7 linked regions of the Xenopus tropicalis genome follow. The protein of the gene in region 1 purifies or fractionates together with the protein of each later gene. This does not show direct contact. Links are inferred from orthologs where the notes say so. Each region holds a gene or a part of one and is shown on either strand. Other genes may lie near its edges. The genes, in order: parp1, top2b, ctnnb1, aptx, top2a, jun and mta2.

The links.
Region 2: the proteins of parp1 (region 1) and top2b purify together in Homo sapiens (affinity purification with western blotting; 3 studies listed by BioGRID and IntAct, with this or other methods). This does not show direct contact. The link is inferred for Xenopus tropicalis from reciprocal best matches to the Homo sapiens genes PARP1 and TOP2B.
Region 3: the proteins of parp1 (region 1) and ctnnb1 purify together in Homo sapiens (affinity purification with mass spectrometry; 4 studies listed by BioGRID, with this or other methods). This does not show direct contact. The link is inferred for Xenopus tropicalis from reciprocal best matches to the Homo sapiens genes PARP1 and CTNNB1.
Region 4: the proteins of parp1 (region 1) and aptx purify together in Homo sapiens (co-immunoprecipitation; 3 studies listed by BioGRID and IntAct, with this or other methods). This does not show direct contact. The link is inferred for Xenopus tropicalis from reciprocal best matches to the Homo sapiens genes PARP1 and APTX.
Region 5: the proteins of parp1 (region 1) and top2a purify together in Homo sapiens (co-immunoprecipitation; 3 studies listed by BioGRID and IntAct, with this or other methods). This does not show direct contact. The link is inferred for Xenopus tropicalis from reciprocal best matches to the Homo sapiens genes PARP1 and TOP2A.
Region 6: the proteins of parp1 (region 1) and jun purify together in Homo sapiens (co-immunoprecipitation; 3 studies listed by BioGRID and IntAct, with this or other methods). This does not show direct contact. The link is inferred for Xenopus tropicalis from reciprocal best matches to the Homo sapiens genes PARP1 and JUN.
Region 7: the proteins of parp1 (region 1) and mta2 purify together in Homo sapiens (affinity purification with mass spectrometry; 3 studies listed by BioGRID and IntAct, with this or other methods). This does not show direct contact. The link is inferred for Xenopus tropicalis from reciprocal best matches to the Homo sapiens genes PARP1 and MTA2.

The regions. Positions count from the first base shown.
Region 1 is NC_030681.2:7,987,611-7,991,696, forward strand, and holds the start of parp1 (poly [ADP-ribose] polymerase 1), read left to right. Parts: upstream 1-1,286; 5' UTR 1,287-1,400; coding exon 1,401-1,520; intron 1,521-4,086. UniProt on the Homo sapiens protein: Poly-ADP-ribosyltransferase that mediates poly-ADP-ribosylation of proteins and plays a key role in DNA repair.
Region 2 is NC_030682.2:47,634,985-47,638,484, reverse strand, and holds part of top2b (DNA topoisomerase 2-beta), read left to right. Parts: intron 1-1,038; coding exon 1,039-1,233; intron 1,234-2,013; coding exon 2,014-2,152; intron 2,153-2,974; coding exon 2,975-3,139; intron 3,140-3,500. UniProt on the Homo sapiens protein: Key decatenating enzyme that alters DNA topology by binding to two double-stranded DNA molecules, generating a double-stranded break in one of the strands, passing the intact strand through the broken strand, and religating the broken strand.
Region 3 is NC_030682.2:53,356,337-53,360,594, forward strand, and holds the start of ctnnb1 (catenin beta-1), read left to right. Parts: upstream 1-1,458; 5' UTR 1,459-1,518; intron 1,519-4,258. UniProt on the Homo sapiens protein: Key downstream component of the canonical Wnt signaling pathway.
Region 4 is NC_030677.2:94,453,522-94,457,689, forward strand, and holds the start of aptx (aprataxin), read left to right. Parts: upstream 1-1,368; 5' UTR 1,369-1,443; intron 1,444-1,452; exon of another isoform or gene 1,453-1,644; intron 1,645-4,168. UniProt on the Homo sapiens protein: DNA-binding protein involved in single-strand DNA break repair, double-strand DNA break repair and base excision repair.
Region 5 is NC_030686.2:8,636,589-8,640,088, forward strand, and holds part of top2a (DNA topoisomerase 2-alpha), read left to right. Parts: intron 1-1,127; coding exon 1,128-1,211; intron 1,212-1,314; coding exon 1,315-1,509; intron 1,510-1,643; coding exon 1,644-1,773; intron 1,774-1,863; coding exon 1,864-2,010; intron 2,011-2,298; coding exon 2,299-2,473; intron 2,474-2,817; coding exon 2,818-2,870; intron 2,871-3,162; coding exon 3,163-3,315; intron 3,316-3,500. UniProt on the Homo sapiens protein: Key decatenating enzyme that alters DNA topology by binding to two double-stranded DNA molecules, generating a double-stranded break in one of the strands, passing the intact strand through the broken strand, and religating the broken strand.
Region 6 is NC_030680.2:86,738,694-86,742,508, forward strand, and holds jun (transcription factor AP-1), read left to right. Parts: upstream 1-1,148; 5' UTR 1,149-1,653; coding exon 1,654-2,592; 3' UTR 2,593-3,315; downstream 3,316-3,815. UniProt on the Homo sapiens protein: Transcription factor that recognizes and binds to the AP-1 consensus motif 5'-TGA[GC]TCA-3'.
Region 7 is NC_030680.2:36,848,645-36,852,928, reverse strand, and holds the start of mta2 (metastasis-associated protein MTA2), read left to right. Parts: upstream 1-1,484; 5' UTR 1,485-1,603; coding exon 1,604-1,631; intron 1,632-4,284. UniProt on the Homo sapiens protein: May function as a transcriptional coregulator. Acts as a component of the histone deacetylase NuRD complex which participates in the remodeling of chromatin.

The sequences.
Region 1 (4,086 bases):
GTCTGTATGTCCTTTGTATTGATGGGAGGGGTCACTGGGGGAGGGGCCATTGGGAGTGTGGGAGGAGGGGGGGCCCAGAAAATCTTGTTGTGAGGGGCCCCGTGATTTCTGATGGCGGCCCTGCCCCCATATAAAGGCACAAGGCTGCAGGCTGAGTTATACAGGGAACTCTGAGTATCACTCATGTATTATAGGGGGTAATGTACCCCCTACTGTAAATGATAAGGATATTAGCAGTCACTGAGGGGTTCTGTGCCCATATAAAGGCACAAGGCTGCAGGCTGAGTTATACAGGGAACTCTGAGTATCACTCATGTATTATAAGGGATAATGTACCCCCTACTGTAAATGATAAGGATATTAGCAGTCACTGAGGGGTTCTGTGCCCCCCATATAAAGGCACAAGGCTGCAGGCTGAGTTATACAGGGAACTCTGAGTATCACTCATGTATTATAAGGGATAATGTACCCCCTACTGTAAATGATAAGGATATTAGCAGTCACTGAGGGGTTCTGTGCCCCCCATATAAAGGCACAAGGCTGCAGGCTGAGTTATACAGGGAACTCTGAGTATCACTCATGTATTATAAGGGATAATGTACCCCCTACTGTAAATGATAAGGATATTAGCAGTCACTGAGGGGTTCTGTGCCCATATAAAGGCACAAGGCTGCAGGCTGAGTTATACAGGGAACTCTGAGTATCACTCATGTATTATAAGGGATAATGTACCCCCTACTGTAAATGATAAGGATATTAGCAGTCACTGAGGGGTTCTGTGCCCCCCATATAAAGGCACAAGGCTGCAGGCTGAGTTATACAGGGAACTCTGAGTATCACTCATGTGCTATAAGGGATAATGTACCCCCTACTGTAAATGATAAGGATATTAGCAGTCACTGAGGGGTTCTGTGCCCCCCATATAAAGGCACAAGGCTGCAGGCTGAGTTATACAGGGAACTCTGAGTATCACTCATGTATTATAAGGGATAATGTACCCCCTACTGTAAATGATAAGGATATTAGCAGTCACTGAGGGGTTCTGTGCCCATATAGTCACAAGACACAAATCTGACGCCTTGTTATTATCCTTACATAATACTTTGCCTCACACAGACACACATTCCTCACACAAACAAACATTCCTCACAATTCTCACACAGACACACAGATAAGCTAGGGAAAGTGACGTCACTAAGTGTGCTGGGGCCACGCCCTCCCTGCCCAGACATGGGCAATGGATTGCCGTTCCCCGGATGCCAGGAAGCAAAGCGGCCCAGACGCGCACTCTGGCGGTGATTGCTTGTGCCTGTTCTGTTGTGTGGCGGGCTTGGGGCTGCACGCTGTTCCAGTGGGAGCCGGAGTGTCCCTGTGTGTAGGAGCCGCTCCTCCCTGCAGCCATGGCCGAGGCCTCGGAGAAACTTTATCGGGCTGAGTACGCCAAGAGCGGCCGCGCCTCCTGTAAGAAATGCGGAGACAACATCGCCAAGGAGTCCCTGCGGCTTGCCCTCATGGTGCAGGTAGGGGCCCGGCTGGGCTGCAGCATTATTGCCTATGGGGGGGCTAGTGTGGCTCATACAGTATGGGCCATTATTGCCTATGGGGGGGCTAGTGTGGCTCATACAGTATGGGCCATTATTGCCTATGGGGGGCTAGTGTGGCTCATACAGTATGGGCCATTATTGCCTATGGGGAGGCTAGTGTGGCTCATACAGCATGGGCCATTATTGCCTATGGGGAGGCTAGTGTGGCTCATACAGTATGGGCCATTATTGCCTATGGGGGGGCTAGTGTGGCTCATACAGTATGGGCCATTATTGCCTATGGGGGGGCTAGTGTGGCTCATACAGTATGGGCCATTATTGCCTATGGGGGGCTAGTGTGGCTCATACAGTATGGGCCATTATTGCCTATGGGGAGGCTAGTGTGGCTCATACAGCATGGGCCATTATTGCCTATGGGGGGGGCTAGTGTGGCTCATACAGTATGGGCCATTATTGCCTATGGGGGGCTAGTGTGGCTCATACAGTATGGGCCATTATTGCCTATGGGGAGGCTAGTGTGGCTCATACAGTATGGGCCATTATTGCCTATGGGGGGCTAGTGTGGCTCATACAGTATGGGCCATTATTGCCTATGGGGGGCTAGTGTGGCTCATACAGCATGGGCCATTATTGCCTATGGGGAGGCTAGTGTGGCTCATACAGTATGGGCCATTATTGCCTATGGGGAGGCTAGTGTGGCTCATACAGCATGGGCAGTTTGTAAGTTATTAGCCCTGGGCTAATTGCCCTAGTAATGGGGTATAGGAAAGTGCCCCCTCCAGCCCAGTGGGTTATTATTGTGAATACGGGTCCTAAGGTGGGGTGTCATGGAAGGTTATTGCCCCAGGTTAAGGTATGTTGTGAAAGCCAATGGATAACATGCTCTAGGTAAGTGCCCCAGCTGGGGTACTTTTGAGTTCAGGTATAGGGCAGTAATGAGTTGTAGGGGGGCTTGTTGCCCCTGAATGGGGACTGTTGTCAAACGGTAGGTTTGTGATGTATAGTAGGTAATTGCCCCAGTGATGGGCTGTTATTGCCCTGTGTTGGGGTATTCTGTTGGCAAGCCAGGGAAGTTAAGGGAAAGAACCAGGGCAAATTGTTGGTCTTTCTCCCAGAATGGGGTAACATGGTACCAATACTGGGAATAAGAAGGCGGATCCTATATACAGTTTGTTTCTGTATCTGCCCAAACCCCTCCCCCAGGGAGAAGCCAGGGCAATTCTGGATGTTTACACACCCACCGTAGAGCTGCACAGCAAGAGGAATATTTGCCCCGTGTTCCCAGAGGCTGCCATTGGCCTGTATTTACAAGACTTTACAGTGCCGGGGGCCCATTGTAAGGCTATATACATACCGAGCAGCTCAGAACCCAGGGGGGAGCCGGGGCAATTGTCTCTACTAGATAACAAAGGCTGGTGTCACACTGGGCACTTTATTAGCCCCTGTGGCTCTGCAGCACCCACCCCCTTCCTTCATGATTACTGTGCTGAACTGAGACTAACTAGGTAGTATCAGTAAGGGATTTCCAGCTGAGTCCTATCTACATACAAATATACGGAGAAGGAATGTTCTGGGCACACAAAATGATGCCCTCCATACTGTACTGTCTAAGGGAAACACTATGGCACCCCCTACCCATATGTATAAATACAAATATACAGAGAAGGAATGTTCTGGGCACACAATAAGCTGTACCCCCATACTGTACTGTCTAAGGGAAACACTATGGCACCCCCTACCCATATGTATAAATACAAATATACAGAGAAGGAATGTTCTGGGCACACAATAAGCTGTACCCCCATACTGTACTGTCTAAGGGAAACACTATGGCACCCCCTACCCATATGTATAAATACAAATATACAGAGAAGGAATGTTCTGGGCACGCAATAAGCTGTACCCCCATACTGGTCAGCCAGTGCCCCCCCACATACATGCCAGGTGATGGTGGGGAGACCAGACTAAAGTGATCTCATCTGATTGCATTGGATTTGATCAGCAGTGATGTACATACACTGAAGCACAGTTCTAGGCATCAGTCCAGATAAACAGTTTTGCTTTGGTCTTTATTCAAGACCCCCTCTTTCTCTGTGTATGGGAATTGTATCTATTTTGGCTGAAGTTAATGCACCCGAGTAAGAAAAATTCAGTAAGTGGCCTTGTGCTTTGTTTTGCAGTCTGGAACATCGAACTTTGCTTTTAATATACAGGGATGGGATCAGTTATCTGAAAACCCAGAAAGCTCCAAATTACGGAAAGACTATATCCCATACTCAATTTTATTCAAATAATTCAGATTTTTAAAATTGATTTCCGGTTTCTCCTTAATAATAAAACAGTACCTGTACTTGATCCCAACTAAGATATAATTACCCCTTATTGGGGCAGAACAGCCCTATTGGGTTTATTTAATGGTTAAATGATTCCCTTTTCTCTGTAATAATAAAACAGTACCTGTACTTGATCCCAACTAAGATATAATTACCCCTTATTGGGGGCAGAACAGTTCTATTGGGTTTATTTCTTGTGTTAGCAGGTT
Region 2 (3,500 bases), on another chromosome or scaffold:
AGAACAATGCGTAAACAAGCAGGGCCAGCTCATCAAAATGTGGCATAAAGTGAAAAGGAAAGGCTGAGGGCCCCAATCTCATAGAACAGCGCTAAAAATTTTAAACCAGTAATATCATTACAGAAATTGATTTACAACACATCAATCCCAAACATTAACCACTCTGACATGACAGTAACCACTGTTAGACTGGCACACTAGAGGCCCACCACAGGTTCCCTAATTAAATATGAAAAACCACCAGTCAGATTAAAAAATATTAGCTCAGGATTTTAAGCAGAATTTAAATAGTAACTACTGATCAGGTACAGCACAGACAGATTTTACACAACCGCACAACCTGAAATTTTAGCCAAAGTATATACATTTAATGCAAAATGAGAGGACCTTAAAACTAACTAGTCAAAAGAGCTGCTTTCATCCCACCTCCTAAGCTTAACCTGTCAGCTCCAAAATTTATTTAGGCAAAGAACGCTTACTTTTTTTTTATCAAGAGGGAGCTTGCTAACACTCCCACTGCATCCCTGGTTACGTTTCTCTAGGACAGCTGATAAAATAAATAGTGCAGTGCAGAGCTAAGTGCATTACTTCCGGCAGCCCTTATGGTCATCCTTCATTTCCATATGAGCGCTGCTCCTTCCCTGCTCTGTCAGCCTCCAGTGACGCTGTTGCCGACACTCTGCAATTTATTGCCAAACAGATTAGCTGGGGCCTGTTAAGAACAGAGCACTTATCCAAACTAAGAGTTGGACATGCGGTGCACATTCTACACAGAGTATGCTGAGTTCAGAGTTGCGTGTGGTTCAACTAGGTAAGCCAGTGGGCCAGTCCGACCCTGGCAGGGGGTTACACAAACGGGGTCTGGAGGGAACCATGTCACCCGACTCGAGTATAAGCCGAGGGTGACTTTTTCAGCACATTTTGGGTGCTGAAAAACTCTGCTTATACTCGAGTATATACGGTAATTATTCTTCTTTGCAGTTTCTTCTCCCTCATGCACAGGTTTTATACTTACTTCTGTTCTTTATTTTATTGCAGAGAGTGGAAGCTCAAGAAAAAGAAGATGTCTTAGCAGGGTTTGCAGGCAAAGCAATAAAAGGCAAAATTGGAAAACCCAAAATGAAGAAATTACAGCTTGAGGAGACTTTGCCATCTCTTTACGGCAGAAGAGTAGAGCCACAAATCAGTGCAATGAAAGCAGATGCCAGCAAAAAGATGCTAAAGAAAAAGAAGGTGAGGCTACTTGCTAACAGGATTACCTTGCAGTGGCTGTATCTTTGGGACTCATATTTTTGTGTTAAAAATAAATAAGGTACAAGATTTTGTAACAGACTTGCTATACAAAATATAGCAACGTATGGGCCAGCAAATAAGTTACATCATATCTGGGCCTCACTGAATACATATTTTCCATTAAACTAATGACTATTGACTGTTGTATACTCCTCCTTTACATGCTACATGCTGTGAGTCTGTTTTTAAGGCTGTTGTCTCCATGTATTCTTTATTAGTGCCCTGTGTGGATAGAAGGCCACAGACGAGGGAGTGTTGCCTGGTGTATATTTTCCCCTGATGTGCAGTTCTTGCTTAAACAGGCTAGGGTTTTGTGTCTGACAGCTGAGAAATGTCTCTGTTAGCCATTAATGGATTAGCATTACACAATACAAAAATATTGTTTGTAGCAATAATACTTTTTCTAGTGACTGAAACAGATTTTATAACACCTTGGTTCTAAAGTATGTAAAACCCCAGCATGTTTCTCCTATGTATTTCACAGGTTTCAAGCCTCTTTGTTTCTGTAGAATGTTTCACAGTTTTTTGCCCAAAGTAAACTGCACATATTTAGATATCGCTGTGCACATGTTCAGCTTCCTGACATGCAGGACATTGCAATTGTCTCCTGCTGAAATACACCACACACCTGCACCAAAGTGTCTCTGCTGCCAAAATAATCTGTCTCAGCATTTCTTTGTTCTAGAGAATTCACTGTTGTATTTTACAAATTGTTTTAAGGGTGAAATTGACTCTATTGCACTGAAAATGGAATTTGATGAGGAGTTTAGCTCGGCACCAGCAGAGGGAGGAGCTGAAGATTCCATGAATACCACTCCTGTAAAACCTGTAAAGCCCAAGAGAGAAAGAAAAGAACCAGGTAGGTGCCTGAGCACATGGGTCCATTCCTGGAAGTCCAAACATTTTGAGTGAATATAACTTTTTTAAAATAAATTTAAATGATATTGGTGTTTGGTTTTCCAGAATTTGTAAGACTTCTAACCCAATACACCTGTATATAAAGTTATTAGTGTTAACTTTCTAGCCCTGTTTAACAGTTAAGCACTGAATATTGCATTTTCATAGAGGGAATTAATAGTCAAAGCTTTCACACGTCAACTCCCATATCTGTGAAGTAATTCAGAATTACAAAGAACATAGATGATTATTTATATTCACAAGTAATATTGTTTCATGTTTTACATCTCATAGAAAGATTGGTTGAGTTTTGTAGCAAGTGAACCATGTAACTTCCTGGTTTTTAACTGAAGCCCAGTAGTTTTAGTTAAGGAGATTGCCAGACATAGCAGCCATATTTTTGTACTCCAGGCTGCAGTTGTTGTTGCTACACATTGGTGTTTTAACATGATCTAGCTTTTGTTTAAGGTTTACTGTCAGTCTGGCTTTTAGGCAGACATTGGCATTATACATTTTTACTAAAGTCCTATAAACGAGGCGGTCTTATAAAGAGGATTACTATAAAAGTTTATTTCCTAGCACAGCACTTTTTCAGCTAACTTAAAATAGGATCTGCAGTGTTCCCTATCCTTCATAGAGAGAGAGAGAGAGACTCTCCTTTTTTGCTGAATGGAAAACAGGTGCATATTAACTATATACCAGTGGTCAGTAAAATGAAATACAGTGAGTTGTAGTTTTCCGAATATACTTTGATTTGCTCATAGTGACTTTTTTTTTATTTGAGGTCCTCGAGCCAAAAAGACTGTATTAACACCCAAGTCATCAACCAAGAAAGGGAAGAAGCGAAACCCTTGGTCAGACAATGAGTCAAAATCAGACAGTGACCTGGAAGAAGCTGAGGCAGAGCCTGTGGTCATTCCTCGGGACTCTCTCCTAAGGAGAGCAGCTGGTATGTATCATGGAAATATGGGGGCACATCTCTGCAACACAATATTGCTTTCCAGGATATTTAAATTTATACCATTTTTTATAATCTTGAGGGGGTGATTTGTTAACAGTCAAGTATGAATTTTTTTAGCGTAAAAAATCTAATTCAAGTTATGGTTCGAAAACTTATTTTATCGTATTAAGTGCAAAAAAACCTGAAAACTCGAATATAAAAATTCACCATCTAAAAGCTTGTGAGTTTCTAACCAAGACAACTGGAGTTGTCGTAGGCAAAGTCAAGCAATATTCTCAAACTTGAAGTTTTTGAGTTTTTAGAGCTCAAAAACTAGAAAAATATGAGAGATTTGAGTTTTCTATTTCCT
Region 3 (4,258 bases), on another chromosome or scaffold:
TCCTTTCATGGGTGTAGCCTGCTGACAGACATTACCTTCACCTCGTATTATGCAACCATCACCTATTCATTTTAGGCACCCATTCTAAAGACCAATGAAATTTCACTTTTTTTTTTTTTTTTTTTTTAAACATGGGTACCACAGGTTTATTCTTGATTAGGTATTATTGAACTACAAAAAGGCCCGGGGCTTTTAGCTGATCAAGGATGCTGCAAACCCTAACTGGATGGGGTACAGGCTGGACATCTTATACACTGAGAGCTGTTTAATGCAGGGCAAGTGTTATAAAGGAAACCACTGGCAATACTGTATGGCTTTGACCATTAAGTTGGAAAAAATACATCATTCATGGACTGTCCAGTCTACTATTCTGCTGCTGTTTAAATACAATCAATCTTGTGTAAACAGAAAGGTGGAAGTTGCAGTTCATCTTCAGCTGGAGTGCACAAGGTTTCACATCCCTGACAGATACACTAAAAATATCTCATAAACGTTTACACAATACACTTTGTCCATTCTGCTTTTATCTCTTATCTGCCCAGACGTGCCCTGTGACTTTGGAGGGGGCAGGGCAAATGTACCCTCTCCTCTAAGCTTTGGTTTAATATTGAGCTCTGTTGCAGCACTTCAATCGTGCAGGACTCGTGTTACAATTCCAACGAAAGAGTTAATACTTCCCCCTCCTTTCTTTGTCTCCAACTCTGCCCTCATCGGGCTCCACATTCCAAGCCTAGGAGGAAAAAAAACAGCTCCGGCCGCATTTCCTACTGAGGATCATTCCGCGTTTAAGTCCTCCAATCCGCACAATGAGCAGGAATGAATCTCATCTCCGCCCAAACTGTTCGTCGCTTCCAAAACCTGACACAAAAACTTTTTAATGCTTAATTCAGTAACACCCATGCCTGTGACAATTGCCACTATATCGCCATTAACTAACTTACGCTTCCGTACATACACAAACCATTAACAGTTGGGTGGCGAATTGCATCTTTAGGTTTACAAGAAACATTTATGCACCAGCTCTACTCGAACGTATCTGCATATTTCATGCGGAGCATATGATAGTATTACAATTGCCCTTTTAGTATTTTCCGCAGCTCTGTATACAACAACCTAGGGAGGGCATTTGCTTTGGGGAAGAACTATTTTTTATATTTCCTTCTGAATCACTCCGCCCACGCCCCGTTTATGAGACCTTTTCCTGCCGCCGAAGCCCGCGGAAGGATATTCACACGCGTATGTAATGCGACCCATATAAAACAAGGGTGTGCGGCGCCATTTTAAGCCTGTGTGTCGCGTTTCAAGCGAACGGGAGAGTAGTGCGTTTGTTCATGGCTGGGAACTGAAGGGGATCAGAAACATAAACGGGGAAAAGAAAATCAACGCTCTTGCCGCCATACCCCGTCCATCTTAAAGTGGGACACAATTCGGAACCTGCAGGGTCTGGAGGTGTGTAGGAGACGGCCAGTACCGGGCGAAACGCGGTGACGGCCGGAACCGGTGGACGTCGAGCCAACGGTAAGATACTGCAAATGTCTTTTTATTTTTTTTGTAGCTTCGGTGTCGCTATCGATTGTTACCGTACCTAGGAAGCTGCTTGGGGAGTGGTGGCATTTGTGGTTATGCAACAGCTGGGGAGCCACATGATGGAGGTTAACGTGGTCGGATCTGTTTGACTTGACTTGGCAGTGTGGTTAGTGCGTTTTTTTTATCTTTTAAGGATTGTGGGCAGGTACTGTACATGTCTGCGGTGTGGAACTTGCGGCCGCCTGGCCTCGTTGGGTAGAGCATTGTTTGGAGTTAAGGATCAGAAACAGGGCCGGAAGTTGGTTGTGTGTGTGTGCCTTTGTACTTGTCCCATAACTGTACTGCATAGTATTGTTGGTGTGTAGGGGGGTACCATACAGTCCTATTTAAGGAATCCCAATAGATACGTATCTAAACTACCCTTTCCATCTGCTTGTTGGCACCTTGTTTAAAAGCCGTCTTTGTGCGTCAGCGGGCTGGCCCTCTTTCCTTTGATTCTAGAACTTTTATAATGTGTGTTTTGGCATGGAGTGATGTGCTGAGTGCTTGCAGGTTCTACTGCTTTTGAGATGTGAGAACTAATGTGCAGGAATGGAGAATTCTATCCAGTGTATCAGATTCACGATGCGGGACATGTATAAATCCATACGTTGTTTTAGGGCAGCTTTGGGAATGTGTATATATTCCCCCTCCCTGAAACTCTCCCCTGTGTACTTAGTGTTTCAGTGATGGAGCTGTGAAATATGAGCCACTCTTGCAACTTTTTTTTTTCTATTCACTCCCTGTCTTGGCCTAGGGTGAGGCTCAGTCAAGCCAGGATATTCATCGCCCTTCCGCTTAGAATTAGTGTTTCCAGTGTTTTGTTGCAGCAGTAAGCTATAGTCATGGGCCCTACTATCCTATCGTTCCAGCTAATGTGTACAAGGTTTGGCTTCCTGTAAGAAACCTTGTACGTATTTGGGTTTAGATTTTAACTTGTGGGTGCCAAAACTTGTGATTTAATGCTAAGTTAAATGATCTATATTATAAATTAAGCAAATGTTACTGAAGTACAAACAATTGCCGCTTCCCATGGAGTAGGTAATGTGAGAGTAGCTCACTTGTGCCTTTCAGTGTGCAAATATGCAAACAAACACCCTCAAGCTGAAAAGTGTTTGTGGTGGAGCTTGGAGAAATTCAGGTTAGTGGGAGGTGGCATTAGGTGCTTTTTACTGGGATGAAATCTGCTCATGTGCTATAGTATTGGCTAACATGGCTTTAGTTGAGGTTTTGTTACATATCAAGGCTAGTCTCCAGGACATGGATTTTTCTTTCCCCCAACTCCATCTCCACCCTCTCCTGTCCTGAAAGTATGCAGGGTAGTGAATAGATTAGACTAGTCAGGAATGTGATCTTAAGAGAAAATGTGGTGCAGAAATTCCAGGCACTTAACACATTTCTAGCTGTTTTGTGCTGGGGCACGGCTCTTATTTGACAACTAACTAGACTAAATATCAACTTTAATACAGCTATGGCTTCCGATAAAAGCCACCTTCTCATGTTAAGCTATGGCAGTGTTTTGATTGTTTCTCAGTTGCAGCAGTCTGCGCACAAGTGGTGGTTTTGTTCCACCAGCTGCAGTAGGAAGGAAGGGCCTGCTGGCAATTCATGCATTGGGGCATTTGTGGCTTCCTCTCCAGTTAACAGTACAAATGTTTAGTGCAAGTATTGTAGCCGATGTGGTAGGGCAAATATTTGTAACTAGCCCGTTTTGGCACTAATGCAACTGCATGTTCAGAATGGTAGAGGATTTGTTTCCTTAAACAGTTCAGTAGGTGGGCAGTGTGCACTTTGCTCCCTCACCTGCCTTTGACATGGGAAGTATGTTTCCTTGATCTTGCAACTATCTTGAAAACATGCTGTTGCCCATTGGGAAATGGCCAATTGGACATGGGGGGGTCTTTCTGTTCACTGCTGCAAGAATCAAAGGTCCTAGTCGGTGACCTGTGTGCATTTCGGGTCGTAAGTCTACTTCCCCAGACAGTATCTCATGGAATTAGTATGTTCTTAATGTGTAGCATTTTTTTCTTAAGTTTCTTCTATGCTCCCAAGACAGGAAGGTTAATTGGCTCCTCCCCAGAGTGGGTGTATGGTAGGAACCATAGATCATGCTTCATTGGGGCAGGGAATGTTACTGTATAAGCTCTCTAGATTGCCATAGAACATGTTGGCTCTATATAAAGCATAATAGTGGTTTGTAGCTGCTAACTGGCAAAGACAGACACTTCATTGTTAACTGTGCGAGCAGCACTATCTGGTGTTAATAGGCCTTATGGAACAGTGCTTGCCTTTGCAGTGTCCTGGGAAATGACCAGTACAACTAACTATACTTTCTGTGTGAGCAGCAAAGTACTTCTATAAAAGCTGCATTAGTTTCCTTGCCAGGAAGTAAAAGTGCAGCTACCACTAAACATCAAATTTAAATGAAGCACTGTGGCGTGTACTAGCTGCTTTAAATGTTGTCCTTTTAGTCAAACTCCTGCAAAAAACTAGCCTTTGAAGTGTTAGCATGCAAATTCAATCCATGTGTGTTTGGGAGGAGCAGGGGTCTTTGGTTTGTAGGTTTGCCTTACTGCGTCAATGGCATATTACTTTACTGTTTAAGTAGGTAACTTTGTTCCATGTAAACTTAACATTATTGAAGCGATAGATGGACTTTCCCATGGGGTTTAAGTATGCTGTCATGTGTGTA
Region 4 (4,168 bases), on another chromosome or scaffold:
CTAGTTTATATAAACAAAGCTGCTGTGTAGCCATGGGGGCAGCCATTCAAAGAAGAAAAGGCACAGGTTACATAGCAGATAACCGATAAGCTCTGTAAAATATAATGGAGCATTATTTGTTATCTGCTAAGTACCCTGTGCCTTTTTCCCCCCAATCTGAATGGCTGCCCCCATGGCTACACAGCAGCTTATTTATATAAACTATAGTAGGAAATCTGTAGCAAACATGCCAGTTTTACCAGTGCAAGGCAACAGTACATTTTAATTACTTTAAAAGGCTAACATTTTTTGGCATTACTGTTCCTTTAAGTAAATGTGTAAATTGTATAATGAATATGTGGAATAGGTAACAGTCTCTCTGCAACATGTAGGAAGTTGAATTGCATTGATCATCATAAATAATCATAAGTTAAATAATCATAATCATAAATAAAAGAAAAAAATAAACCAACAAAATATGACACCAGCACTACTGTTAAACTACAGAAATCCTGGTAATACACTTTGGGACAACGTGCATAGAAATAGTTAATTCTCACAAAGTGGTCAGACTTCTGAAGGATGCCATGGGTTTTGTACCGCTAAAACCTATGCATTATGATGTATTTCATGTGTGGATACACTTATGCAATTCTCTTAGCAACACAATTAGAGGTGGGTCACTTTTCAGGCATTCATTGCCTAGAAACACTAAAACCCGGTATTGATCCAAAACTGAGCCCCAGGGAGCCTTCAATCAGGAGAAAAGAGCAATGAAACACTGACCCCAGTCAAATGACCAACACTGCCAAGTCACGTGACAAGAGAATAGCCAACATCAGGCACCTAGCTCAGTACCTCCTCGCCGACCAAAGACGAACCCACATAACCTCGGACCGACAAATGTGATATCATAACCCAAAGGAATTTAAAAAAATCATAGCCAGGCGTACTATTCATTAGGGAAAAACGTTAGAGTTCAATTCTAACCTGCAAAAAATATAGTCAATAACCGCTTACATCCAAAACTCGCTCATATAAAAGCAACGACTACGTTTGAGACAGAAAACACGGCACGTGTTCCATTTAGCTGGGATAAAAAAAACAACAAAATCAACAATAAATAAATGTATTAATGCCTTCATACCCACGATAATGCACTGTATATTCAAGGTGGCTAGCGGTCTTCTCCGTCTAACAGCTTCTAGAAGGATCGAGGGAACAAGAGTCACATCCGGGAATCTTATGTAAAAGGAAAGAGAAGGGGGTGGTGAGACCACGATGACGCCTAGAGTCCGGAACCGGCAAATACTCAGGCTCCAATCCAACTGCGCGTTAGTGAGGGCGGGAACGTGCTGCCAATCGTGCCTGATGCGGTTCACTGCAGCACGCCTTGCGTTCCAACCGCTACGTGGCACTGAAATCAGTTGAATTGATTGACGACCACGTGAATTCTAAGAATTGGTATGGTTAAACACCACGAAAAACGCCTAATGATTTTTTTTACACTCACATACGTGGTGTTTTATCAGCCTTTTAAAATACGTGTCTGTCATATTAATGGCCGACAGAGATTTGCGTCCACTTGTATTCCGTAGGTCATAGTATATGCAGGCTCCGCCTTGTAGTGTATAGCTGTTGATGTTTCGTGTGTACCCACGCTAGGTAAGATTGTACATACATATATTTATACAAATTTGCGTCTTTGGAATTGTCTTAAGGGACAGCTTCCCTACCGAATAGCTGCAAGGCTTCACAGAAACGTGATAACTTTACAACATATAGCCATGCCGTTTAAAGAGCGAAGTTGTCATCTCATCAGAAGGGATGCTGCTTCTTTGTGACTGCAATAGACAATTCCAAGTTGCCCAGGGTCCAATATTGTAATCAGAAAACATGGGTCAAAGGCAATTTTTCATTACAAACAAGTACATTTATTACATGCCGAATACCCATGCTTTAAGCTTATCATATGAGCAGGACTACAAGGAGAAAACCAAGTGGAAATTGGTGGGCATAATTTACGGTTAATAGGGCTTGCAGGACATGAGTACAAGCAGCCAGCCTTGTATGTTGGTTGTCAACAATGGTTCTGTGGTTCTTGCTCCCTTTAAAAAGTTTATTGTAAGGTGCATTCATACATGGTTATCATAGCATTTCATCAGCCTTTCTATTCCCTTTATCAGCTTGTTCCCTCTTCTTTGAACTCTATCAATAAGGCTCTAGAGACCAAAACTGCTGCATATTTAAAGGAACAGTAACACCAAAAAATGAAAGTGTATAAAAGTAACTAAAATATAATGTGCTGCTGCCCTGCACTGGTAAAAGTTGTGTGTTTACTTCAGAAAGTCTACTATAATTTATATAAATAAGCTGCTATGCAGCTATGGAGGCAGCCATTCAAAGGAGAAAAGGCACAGGCACATAGCAGATAACAGATAAAACACTATTGTACTCTACAGAACTTATCTGTTATCTGCTATGTAACCTGTGCTTTTTCTCCCAGCTTGAATGGCTGCCCCCGTGGCTACACAGCAGCTTATTATATAAATTATAGTAGTGTTACTGTAGCAAACACACAACTTTTACCAATGCAGGGCAACAGTGCATTATATTTTTATTACTTTAAAGCTCTTTCATTTTTTGGAGTTACTGTTCCTTTAAGGCCCTACTGGTGCCTTAAAGTGGACATGTCACACAGACATAAAAAGCTGTATAATAAAAGCCCCTTTCAAATTAAACATGTAACCCAAAGTCATTTTTTTATTAACACATCTATACCCATTATACAAGCAAGTCCCAGCTGTCAATTAAATATTTCCTGACCGCCTCTATGCCTAAGGCATAGAGGTGGGGCAGACAGTTAATTTCACTTTCAATTCAGAACTTCTTAGATGTTGCTGCTCTCCTCACATTCCCCCTCCCTCCTCACCATCTAATTTTGTAACCAGTGCATGTACATGGGTATCGGGTCCCCCCATACTGGCACAGAAACAAGATTTTGGCAGGATGCACAGCTTGCTTTAATAACAGTGTCCACAAAATGGAGCTTGCCTGTTTTCTGCAATGGTGAATTCCAAGGCTGAAGGAAATAGGTTTCAAAAAATGTATATAGTGTAATTGAAGTTTATTTTGCTTGACAAACACAATAGAAAACAATTTGTAATTATTTCTTAGGGTGACAGGTCCCCTTTAAAAAGAGGGAGAGTATCATGCAAATCTATACCCCTTTTTAATATAGCTCAAAATCTTCCCCCTACCATTTAACCCTTCCGAATGCTAATTAGCATATATGAATTTATGCTAATTCGGTTCGGCCGGGACTGTGGATTCTGCCAAAACTGAATCCTTCAAAAAAAAAAAAAAAGGCTATATTCGGCCAGAATCCTGAACGGAATCCAGGATTCAGTGCATCCCTAGTCATTTGCAAACACTGATAAATTTCTTTCAATACCCACCCCAAGTTATTAATGAATAAATAAAAAAGGACCCAATACAGAACCCTGTGGAGAACCCTACTTCATTCAGAGAATGTACGATTTACAACCATCCCCTGTACACAATTCTTTATTTCTGCTAAAACAATTAAGCAAGAAATTCAGGGAATTTTGAGTCAAATTTAAAGATGTTGTTTACCTTTAAATTTTCTTTTAATATGACATAGACAATGATATTTTAAGACAGTTTGCAGTTGGTTTTTATTTTTTTTGTGGTTTTTCAGTTATTTTTTGTTCCTCGGCTCTCCAGTTTGGAATTTCAGCAGCTGTCTGGTTGCTAGAGCCTTGTTTACCTTAGCAACCAGGCAGTGGTTTGTGAGACTGGAGAGGGACTGAAGAGAAAGATAAGTAATACAAAGAAACAATAACAATAAAATGGTAACCTCAGAAATCAATACTGGTTTAGGGCTGTGTCACACGGGGAGACTAGTCGCCCTCGACTAATCTCCCCAAAATGCCATCCCTCCGGTCGGTGAAAATGTAAATTGCCGGTGGGATGGCATAAATGCCTTTAAGAAAAATTATAAATAGCATGCAAAGACAGTGTTACGGTAGATGTAAATAAGGTTTAATTTCTGGTGTCAGTATCTCTTTAAAGGTGAACCATGCCTTTAAGATCTCTGTTTTGTTCTCTTGCTACAGGTATCGGACCCCTTATCCGGAAACCCGTTATCCAGAAAGCTCCGAATTAC
Region 5 (3,500 bases), on another chromosome or scaffold:
TAAAAGCAGATATATGCAAACCTTTTTACTATTCTACAGGGTTTGATTAACTTGAAACCACACCCATGTTATCACATGACCATACCCATATTAATGGTTGTAGTACAGCAAAAACCTGCCATACTCTGCCTGCCCTACCCTGCCTGTGTGTGCCATACTTTCACTGTGTGTGCCATTCTTGGCTGGTTTGTGCCATACTTGGCCTGTGTGTGCCATACTCTGCCTTCCCTACCCTACCTGTGTGTGCCATACTCTGCTTGCCCTATGCTGCCCGTGTGTATGGCACACACAGGCAGCCTACAGTGACACAATGCTGGCACTGCTCCTACAGTCTGCACAATAAATATATATTAAAAAACTTTTTAATTGCAGTACCACCTCAGTATATGTTCTTTTTGTAGTATGCAGGGATTATTTGTGGGTTTCTACTGCTCCTGAGGTGTGAACAGGGGAACACAGTTTAATAGGTTCTTCTACATTACATCCCAGAGGCTGGTTATCTTCAAACTCAAAAGGCTCTAAAATCATTACAAAGATTTGGTTGTCTGAATAAAAGACCTTTCAAAAAGTCTTAAATGGCAAAGAACTAAAATAGTTCTTTAGAGTTGTTTTTCCATCTTAAGTGAATTTAGTTGTTTGGGTTTGACTAGGAACAAATGTGGCTTATTTGCCAATTCTAAGATGGTTAGATATTATGACCAGTAGTGGTCGGCAGATACAAGCCCATGAAATGTCAGCCTTATATAGCCATATGGTATGGTACCATAAATCTCTGCTACAGCATCATATCTTGGTGTGTGCTGGGCTTCCATTTTTTCTTGCTTTCCTGGATTATGGACCTGGCCAGTTTAGGGCGTTACACCACTGGCGACAGTCAGATACTATACTGGGGGTGCTTCCAAACATACATTACTGTCTCCAGAAACCAACCCTTCTTTAATTGTGACTTTCAGTGGTCGGATAACTCATCAGAGATGTTTGCTTGGGTTTTACTGCATAGCATTTACTTATTACTAAATATGGAGTTGCCTTGATGTTGGTTTGATAATATTTAAATACTTCCACCTTCTCTAGTGGTGAGTGTCACTATCTGGCATTTCCAATAAATGCTGTCATTTTGTTTTTAGAACGCAGAGCTTCAGGACCTGAAAAAGAAATCACCTTCTGACTTGTGGAAAGAAGACCTTTCTGCATTTGTTGAGGAGCTAGACGTAAGTAGTAACATCTATCCTTCCTTTGTCTATTTGGTATTTGTTGCTTTATATAAATTGCTGCGGTTCCAACAACAGGAGTTGTGTTCTTGCTTTGTGACAGCGTGTAGAAGCCAAAGAAAGGGAAGAACAGTCCGTAACAACAGGCAAAGTGGTTAAAGGAAAGAGTGGGAGACCGCAAGTAAAGAAAATGCAATTGCAGGAAATTATGCCATCTCCACATGGCAGGCGTGTTGTCCCTAAGGTCACAACAGCCATGAAAGCGGAAGCCACCAAAAAGATGAAAAAGAGAATTAAGGTAAACGAGCGTTTCTGTATAGATTTAGGTTTGCTTGGCTCAACAATAACTGGCCTTTTTGAGCATATGTATATATAGAATATGTATTGACTTTTGCATTTATAAAATGTACCCAAACATTTGCCATTTGTTAGGGTGAGGATGTTGCTAAGAAGATGGATTTCGAAGACGATGGTGAAGGAGACAGCTTAAATTCACCAGAACAAAGTCCAGAGAGCCTAACGCTTGCCGAAAGATTAAGCAAAAAAGTTAAAAAAGAGCCAGGTGTGTAAATGGTTTTTAATGAAAGCTTCTCTGTTTGCATGCTGGTGTTATGCTGCAATCTAACATTTCTATAACTGCTTTTACATAAAGGCGCAAAGGCTGTCAAAGACAAGAAGCAGGCAACGTTACCCTTCAAGCCAGTAAAAAAAGAGGCAAAGAGCACATTCCAGGATTCAGAGAGCGAGTCCGAGGAAGAAGTGGTGCCACGTGCTGCTCAGCCACGCCGCAATGTTGCAGGTGAGAAATGCTAGTAGCAAATTTACCTCTGCAGTCTGAACACAGTTGGGGTTTTATGAACATAGTGTTTAACATGGTGTTAGGGCTTCCCGACAAATGCCTCTGATGCAAGTACTGGTGCAAAAAGGGGGCCCTATAGAGGCCAGTGCTGGGGGTTTTTTTGTTTGTTTTTAGAGCTTCTTTATTGTTTCATTCATTCATTTACTGATAGTTGCCTAGGCCTGCTATGGAATGTGTTACCACATAAAAGGGTTCTGCTTGATAACAAATGTTTTTATTTGCTTCTAGCTAAAGTGAACTATATGTTGAGCTCTGATGAAGACGGTGAAGAAGAGGGAAGCGGCATAAAGATGCCTCAGGAGAAGAGTGACAGTGAATTCAGTGATTTCAACCCAAAATCTGATTCAGAAGATGAATCCTTTGTAGTTGCAAAGCCAGCCAAAAAGCCCAGAGCTGCGCCCAAGTGAGTACTCTCCCCTCCCTTTAGGTACAAATCAACTTAAGCCATTTCTTGGTGACAATTTTGTTTCCACCATTTAATGCTGCTTACTAAAAAAAGGATGTGATTGGAAACTACCTTACTGGCATCCTGATGGAAATTGGTAGCTTCTAAATGTTAGTATTATATAGACAACATGCATTTTTTCCCTGGCAACCAGGTAGAAACTTGAATGAGGGGGAGTGATTTAAAAAACTTATAAAAAGTAACAGAATTGCAAACATACAGAGTTGGTGACTACTGATTTAAAGGCTTTTTTTTCTGTAAGATTTGATGTTTTGTCTAAAATGGTTTAACTTATTTAACAGGAAAGCTAAAAAGATTGAAAGCCCAGAAAACTCTCCACAGAAAGACAAAGCAGGTATGTTTTATCAAGAATAGCTGCTTGGGATATTCACATAGTAATACATTACATATGGCAACGTGTTTTGGGGGTTTTATGAGCCCAGTACAAATGGGACCACAATGAAATAAAGGATCACACATGTATGTTTACCCCAGTTCAGCCATATGTTGGCTTGTTTTTCTGCTGCAATGAAACATGCTATATTCATAGATAACATAACACAACATATATTAACCATTCTGTATCCTGGCAGATCTGAGTTATGTCTTGGTATTAATGTGACTGGTTCTGTTGTATTTTTGTCTAGCTCCAGTAATTGCATTAGATGAAGATGAGGATACTCCCATAATGACCAGTGCTCCCAGCGCCCCTGCACCGGCTCCCAGTGCCAAAGTGTCAAGTGCTAAAGTGGCAGAGAAGAAACCTGCACCTAAAAAACGAGTCCAGAAACCGAAGACTGGTGAGAACTTCTGTTTTGCAATATATTAAACGTGGGCAATTTTTTTTGTTTAAGTATCTTAATATCCAAGTTTGGCCCACTACAGATCTTTACTGCGTTTGCCGTGACCTTGTGTATACAGAAGTATGCCGATGTAAAACACTTCATTTCTGGTGTTTGTATCACAGTAAATATAATAATAATAA
Region 6 (3,815 bases), on another chromosome or scaffold:
TAAAAGCCAGTCTCCGTTCTCATGGATGCAACCTGATCTCCTGTAAACTTTTTAAGCCTCCCCAGCGCTCCCCCTACCTCCTTCACCCTGCTTCCAATCATCCTTTTTTTACTTTCATCAACGCCCACATCATAATCTACACACCCACCCACCAATAAACTCCCTCCCCCACCAAATTAAAAAAAAAAAAAAAAAAAAAAAAAAAAAAAAAAAAACTTTCCCTCACCTTTTCTCCCTGGCTATCCACCCCAGTGCAGAAAGGCATGATCATTAGAATGTAGCACATGCCTACACAACACTGGGACCCTTTTAATAACAATGATGCTATACAGCCTTACATGTTCTCTGTCACTGACACTGGTGTATCTATGCAATGTTGCGATCCTCAAGCTCTTGTTGAACTCCTAGTCACATACAGCCCCACCCCCACACACGGACCCGCAATGGCCGGAGGGCTGCAACTTGGTCTCCCCCGTGTCCTACACAAAGTAAAACAGCGAAGAGAACAATAACTATAAAGCCAGTAAAACTATACCACACTAATAACATTCTACCGAAAATAACCAGTTGTTTCAAAACTACAACTCCCAGCAACCACTACCACATTTTAGTTCGGCAACTAACAAACAACATATTGAAAAACCTGCCATACTGATCGCTTAAACCTGTGGAAATAATCTGTTTCAACTCTGAGTTTTCAGTTTCACCAGCCGACAAACACAGCCCAAGTCCTCCGGTTCCTTATGTGACAGACAACCATTACAACCATATCGCGCTTTGCTAGGAAAGGGATGAGTCTCCTCCGCGGCTTACGACTACCATACAATTGCCTCAAGCCCCTGTCCAGTACCAGGGGGTGAGCGGAACAGCCCTTATGGCGGGAAACCCACGTCAAACTACCATCCCAACTACCAAAGCAAGGAACGGGCACCGCCAACAACAATACGTCAGCCCACAATGCCCAGCGGCAAAGGAGCATTACCTCATCCCATGAGCCTTCGCGAGAGTTAGAATCTTCTAGGGCGGTCGTCATAGCGACCGAGGCTCATTTGGCCTCGCTGGCCCGCCTCCCTTCCCAAGGCTCAACCAATAGCAGGACGTTGGGGTGACATCATGTCTATTTTTAGTGGGTGACCGCTCGCAGATAAGTGTTAGCTGCACGCTGTCCCACAGCCCAGTACAAGTGAGTAGAGCTCACACTGACAGCACTTGTGGCGCTTGGGGAGAAGGAACGTCTAACTTCTCAGTGACTTCTTCCTTGTGTCCGTGTGCCTGACACCTATACTGGGCACACGCACACACCCAGCGCTCGCCATTACATATCTCCGGCGGCGCTTTGGAAACTTTCCCGGGAGTTTATAAGAACTTTTGTGGCGTTCGGAGTACGAGGACCTCTTTGCTGCTAGAGACACAAAGTAAGTCGCATTTATTTCTGTTATGTGCCAGGCTGGGAGCAGTTGTGCTTGAACTCTCACTACGGGACACTGCCAGTTGTAGTTCGGCAGGCGAAGCATAAGTTCCATTTAGAAGAGGGGTGGAGGTGCCATGGGGTTCGGTGTGTCAGCTAACAACCTGTTCGCTCTTCTCTCTAGGCTGGTGCTGGTGTCACACTAACGTAAGGTCCAGTCATCGTCCCTGTCCGGCATCCGTTCTATGACTGCAAGGATGGAACCTACTTTCTACGAAGATGCCCTGAGTGCTGCTTTCGCCCAGCACGATGCTACTCCCTATGGTTACAACAAGGTGCTGAAGCAAAGCATGACCCTGAACCTGTCGGACCCCAGCAGCGCCATCAAACCTCACCTGAGAAACAAGGCAGCTGAACTGCTCACCTCCCCTGATGTTGGGCTTCTCAAGCTCGCCTCCCCGGAGTTGGAGAGGCTTATCATCCAGTCCAGCAATGGCATGATTACCACCACCCCGACCCCCACCCAGTTCCTGTGCCCCAAGAATGTCACAGACGAGCAAGAAGGCTTTGCAGAGGGGTTTGTTAGGGCACTGGCAGAACTCCACCATCAAAACAACTTGCCAAGTGTAACCACTGCCACCCAACCTGCCAGCACGGGACTGACACCTGTATCTACTATTGCTGGAAACACTGGCTTCAACAATAGTCTTCACAACGAGCCCCCTGTGTATGCCAATCTAAGTAACTTTAACCCAAGTACCATCACCACATCATCGCCTTTTAACAGCAACACCATGGGGTATACCGGCCAACATCAGAGTAACCCACCAATACCCGTGCAGCACCCCAGGTTACAGGCTCTGAAAGAGGAACCACAGACTGTACCTGAAATGCCTGGGGAGACTCCTCCACTGTCCCCTATTGACATGGAGTCCCAGGAAAGGATAAAGGCTGAAAGGAAGCGTATGAGGAATAGAATCGCAGCATCTAAATGCAGAAAAAGGAAACTGGAGAGGATTTCCAGGTTGGAAGACAAAGTTAAAAACTTAAAATCCCAGAACTCTGAACTGGCATCCACTGCCAACATGCTTAGAGAGCAAGTAGCCCAGCTCAAACAAAAAGTCATGAATCATGTCAACAGTGGGTGTCAGCTAATGTTAACACAGCAGATGCAAACATTCTGAAAAGGCTTCTTTGGGAAAGAGATGTGAGAATTATTTTGTGGAGGGAAATAGTTTCATGTTGAAACTCCCTGGCTCAAAATGAAAGGCACTGAGACCTGACTGTTCTACGTGCGTGTGCGGGGAGTCCTGACAAGCCTTTAGGTGGAGCCTGTGGCAATGCAACAAGCAGTATCACTTGTCAAGTGCTGTTCCTGCTCTAATGAAACATCAGATACATGTTTAACATTGACCAAGACCTGCATGGACCTAACATTCGATGATCATTCAGTATTAAGAAAAGGTTAAACTGCTAGAGACACTAGATTGCTTCCGTAGTTTTCTTACAAAGGGAGGGTGTGGGAGGGAGGCATACGGGACATTGAAAAGTAAAATTAATGACAAATCTGCCTGCCTTCTACATAACTGTGTATGTGTACATATTTGTTTTTTTTATTATAATATTAAGAAAAACTGAATTATTTCAGTAAAATTGCTTCAAGCATTTGTAAGTTATTTTTATGTTTGGGTTAATAAACCCACTACTTTCTGTAAATAAGAGATATTGAGCACTCTTGAGTTTACCATTTGTAATAAAGTATAATAATTTTCTATGTTTTTGTTTCTAAGGACAATTCCAGACGTTCAATTATATTTAAGATATTAAATAAAAGATGTGGAAATTAGATTTTTTTATTTATATTGATATTTTTTTTTACACTGCAATAAACGTGCATGTTAAACTATCTCCTGTGTATAGTACTTGATATATTGCATGAGTCTATTCAAGGGTATTATATTTTGACAATTATTTGATATGGGTATTGGGCAATATAAAAGTAAAAGCAGAAAAGAACATACTGACCAATATTTTCTTTATATCATAGCACTTGGGGTTATTTATATATGCTATTATAAAGTTCTGGGCTTTTGGCAAGAGTTTGCTGCTGTTATTATATGTTTGAGGGGTTAGGAATGGTTTACAGTATTCTCCAGCCTTATTGGCTAAATAATCATTTCCAAATTGTGCACCACAAATACCAACTGGTTGCCAGCCCTCTTCAATTTTACAAATTGATAAATAGTTGCTTTTCCTAAGTTTATTGAAAAAAGAAAAGTGTAACAAATTGATATAGTAGTAGTAACTAAAGTAGCTACTGATGAGAATATACCAACTAATTTATTAAACTGTAGCATTTTAGAGTCCTTGTTTCTTAAGGTGCTACTGGGAAACACAAGAGGTGTGA
Region 7 (4,284 bases), on another chromosome or scaffold:
CCGATTCAGCGATGAAGGCAGATTTTGGTCAGGGGCCTTCTATGGCGCCGGATCAAAATCTTTTAACTGGCCCGATCGGCGAGTCGACCGATATCAGCAGCCTCCTGCGATATCGGTCTACTCGTCGACTTGCCATACACGCACCGAATATCGGACGAAACGAGGTTTCGTACGATATTATTGGTGCGTGTATGGCCAGCTTAAAATGGCAGGAAACCTCCAGGCCGTCCCATAGTAAGTGCTATAAAGTCTATTTTACAACCAATAGCTATCTATATGGACTTTCTTTAACCAAAACTACAAGGGATATCTAGAATAAGGACACTGGGGACTTTTTAACCAAAGTTAAAACAGCATTGCCTTTATCTCTCAACAGTAAACTTGCTATAGACGTTCTTTATATAGTGATCCCTACATACTTGGGTATCCAAACAATCCGCCAACATCCGATTGCCCATCTAGACAGTACATGGCCATGTAATGAATTTCTTATGGAATTACTGGAATGCTGTCTCTCCAATTATTATTTTAAATTTGAACTTTTATACTACCAATAAGTTAGTGATACAAGTATGGGCTCTAATGTAGCCCCTTCCTTTGCCAACTTATACACGGCTGATTTCAAACAATTATACTCACCCCTTACAAGGACAAAATCACAGAATGCAGTATTTCATTTATGAAACATGGAGCAAGCAGGAGCATGCACAGTTGAATCTAGTGCGGAATCACAACTCTACATACTCCTGCAGGGTCAGTGTTGGCGGAGAGACACAAAGAAGATCGAAGGGAGTGAAGATGGAGCCTGCAATCTGCGCTGTGCTGCATTTTTATTTCAGTTGTTCAGATAGGGACACTTTGTTATTAAATAGACTATGCAGGGTAGGAAAGGTGAGGAGGCAGATGGAGGTCAGTTGAGTGGGGCTTTTCTACCTAGGGGGTTTAGTTCTCCTTTAAAATCAGGCATCATGTGATTTGTTACATCCTGTAATAGCAAGAGCCTTTCAATCAATAAGCACCAATTATAAATGATGACATTACTGAGCAGCACCTTTATTGAATTATTCACACATTTTGTGTAATATATATTACACACACACATATATATATATATATATATATATATATATATATATATAATACACCGCATATTACAGAACGATTTGTATATTATATTCCATAAAGCTCAGATAGAGTAAACTTAAACCATAGGGACGTGTATGTCGTTACTCACTAAACCAGCATTTTACCAGTTATTAAAAGTAAGGGATACTAGCAGACCAACTCTGCCGCACATCACTTTAATGCGTCCACAACTACTTCCTCCTTCCGAGCGCGTTCTACTGACTGCAGCCTTTGTGCGTCGTTTACTTCGGAGAAGTTCGGGTTTTCCCGTCTCCCTCTTCGGAAGTCATCAGTTGATTCCGGAAGCACTCGTTTATGTCCGGATATAATTCTTTCAATCGAACGCTTTGTCCCTCCCCCGGAAGGCTGCTCGCTTCTTTATGCCGGAAGTTGCCCCTCTTTCTTCCCCTTCCTCTCCCCCCACAGGCCCCGGAAACGCGCGCAGATTCCCGAGTTATTGTGCGCGGGAGAGAGCAAGATGGCGGCTAATATGTACCGGGTGGGAGGTGAGAACTCACAGTAAAATCATTCTGAGCCGAAAGCATATCTGTAGAGCTTTATACTATGTAGTTAAACACACACTTTATCCGCTGTAGAGGGAGAGTCTATACCCATACATCATCTGTACAGAGTAGCGAGCACCGAATGCTGAATTAAAGTAAACGCTTTTTATTTACATGCAGAAATGTAGAATGATTATCTTTATCTTATTTCTGTGCATTGTGTGTCTTTAGTCTAATGCAGAAAATATATAATACACACATAATATATATATATATATATATGCACACATAGATCATAAATATATATATTTATATACATACACACACACACACACACAAATGTCAGTATGTAACCTAAATACTAAAATGCTGCTGTGCTGTTTCTGCAGTATTAAACTAGCCCGGTTACTCTTTACCTGACTCAATCACACTCAGCCTAGTTTAGTGGCCGGGGCTGTTAGGACCACCCCTTATGTACCCTGCCTGTTTGTCACTGTTCATAATATTGATCAATGGAAACTGCCCTGACTTTGTGCACTGGCTTCTGTGAGGTCTGTCTGTCTGTCACTGCTTGTGTGTGTAAGACAGGGAGCTTCCATGAGAATAACCCCTGCTGATCTTGCTCAGAGGGCTTCTGTGCCAAATTGCTTATCAGGTAGATGACCCTGTAACCAGGACTGTACTGCCAATCTATGGAATCTGGCAAATGCCAGAGGGGCTGCAGGTAGATTCTATAGGCAGTCAATATTTATTGGGCTTTTTGGGCCTCTGTCTACTTGAAAAGCCAGGGCCACTTTTGATTGTCAATCTTGACCTGACTGTAATCCACTGTTTCTGGGCCATGGCTGCCCAAGGACATGTTGAACTCTCATTATCCTGCAGCATATAACTATAACCTGTCTATCTTGAACACAATCAAAGCTGGTATTTACACAACTTTTTTATCCCCAAGTGTTAATTTTCTTTACACTTGTTTATACATATTTATATAGGATTTTTTACATTTTTTTGTTTGCATAAGAAATTTGTGGGTATTTACAATTTATTTTCTTAACTAACCTTTATTAACATTCCATAATCTGTGAAAGAGCCTTCTTATTAATGTAGTCTGATCATTTATCCTTTGTATCAGTTGTGGTGCCAGTAAAGCTTACAGTCTAATGTGATAGATTGCATTCACACAAGTGGATGAATTTCATCAGGTGTCGGTTAAAAAGAAGGGAAGTTCAAGCACCCCCCCTTCCCACAGTGATTACAGTTAGTTGCCTGGTACCCAGGGCCATTTCTCCCATTTGCTGAAAACTGCACTGGACTGGGGTATTTTTGTAGTGGCACCACAGGGCAATTCTCTTCCTCTTTGCTTTTTAAGCTGGGAGTGCAAGCGCAGTAAAGTGAAAAGCTGCAGGGCTGTGGAGTCGAGGAGTCGGAGGCAATTTTGGGTACCTGGAGTCAGTCGGCAAAAAATGAACCGACTCCTACTAAATTTAAATGGGAATAAAAAAAAAATAAAGCAAGTTTAAATGTCCCAATTCACAAACAGTCATAATTAATTACTTCTCTGCTATAAGAATAAAGCCCAATGCACGCAGTGCATAAACAAACACGTTGAGTGACCATGAAGCATGTTTTTCATTGACTGTATGAATGTATAAAATACATTAACATGTTAAAAACAGAGGAGTCGGAGTCGGAAGTATCAGAAACTGAGGAGTCGGAGAATTTATCTACCGACTCCACAGCCCTGAAAAGCTGAACTAAAAACAAAAGTCCAGCCTTTTCATTCTACACCACCGTCTCCTTTAATAAGCCTACATGTTTTTGTAACGTGGAATTAAACTGCAGTATAATAATAACAAAGGTGTATTGGATTCATAGGAAGCAGTATGTTAAGCTTATATGTGATGCCTACTGAAATATGTTTTATATGTTTCAGGACAGTAAAGAAATTTGCCTGCTCAAAGTACCTATGTTAACATATGTTAAGTCCCTATAGTTACATTTTTTTTTTTTAGTAGCCCACCCAAAAAATAGTAACGGTCTATGGCATCTTACAGCAGCCCCTCTGGCATTTGCCAGACTCCACAGATCGCCAGTGCGGGCCTCATAGCAACTAATTAGATGTTTGTTTTTAAAGAGCTGGCCAGTAAACACTACTTGCCGATTGATTAATAGATGTGGGCTAGCTTAAAGGAACAGTAACACCAAAAAATGAAAGTGTATAAAAGTAACTAAAATATAATGTGCTGCTGCCCTGCACTGGTAAAAGTTGTGTGTTTACTTCAGAAAGTCTACTATAATTTATATAAATAAGCAGCTGTGTAGCCATGGGGGCAGCCATTCAAAGGAGAAAAGGCACAGGTTACATTGCAGATAACAGATAAGCTCTGTAGAATACAATAGTGTTTTATTTGTTATCTGCTGTTATCTGCTATGTAACCTGTGCCTTTTCTCCTTTTTTCCAGCTTGAATGGCTGCCCCCGTGGCTACACAGCAGCTTATTATATAAATTATAGTAGTGTTACTGTAGCAAACACACCAGTTTTACCAGTGCAGGGCAACAGTGCATTATATTTTTATTACCTTAAAGCTCTTTAATTTTTTAGGGTTACTGTTCCTTTAAATAGGTGATTCACCTTCAAGTTGACTTTTAGTATGT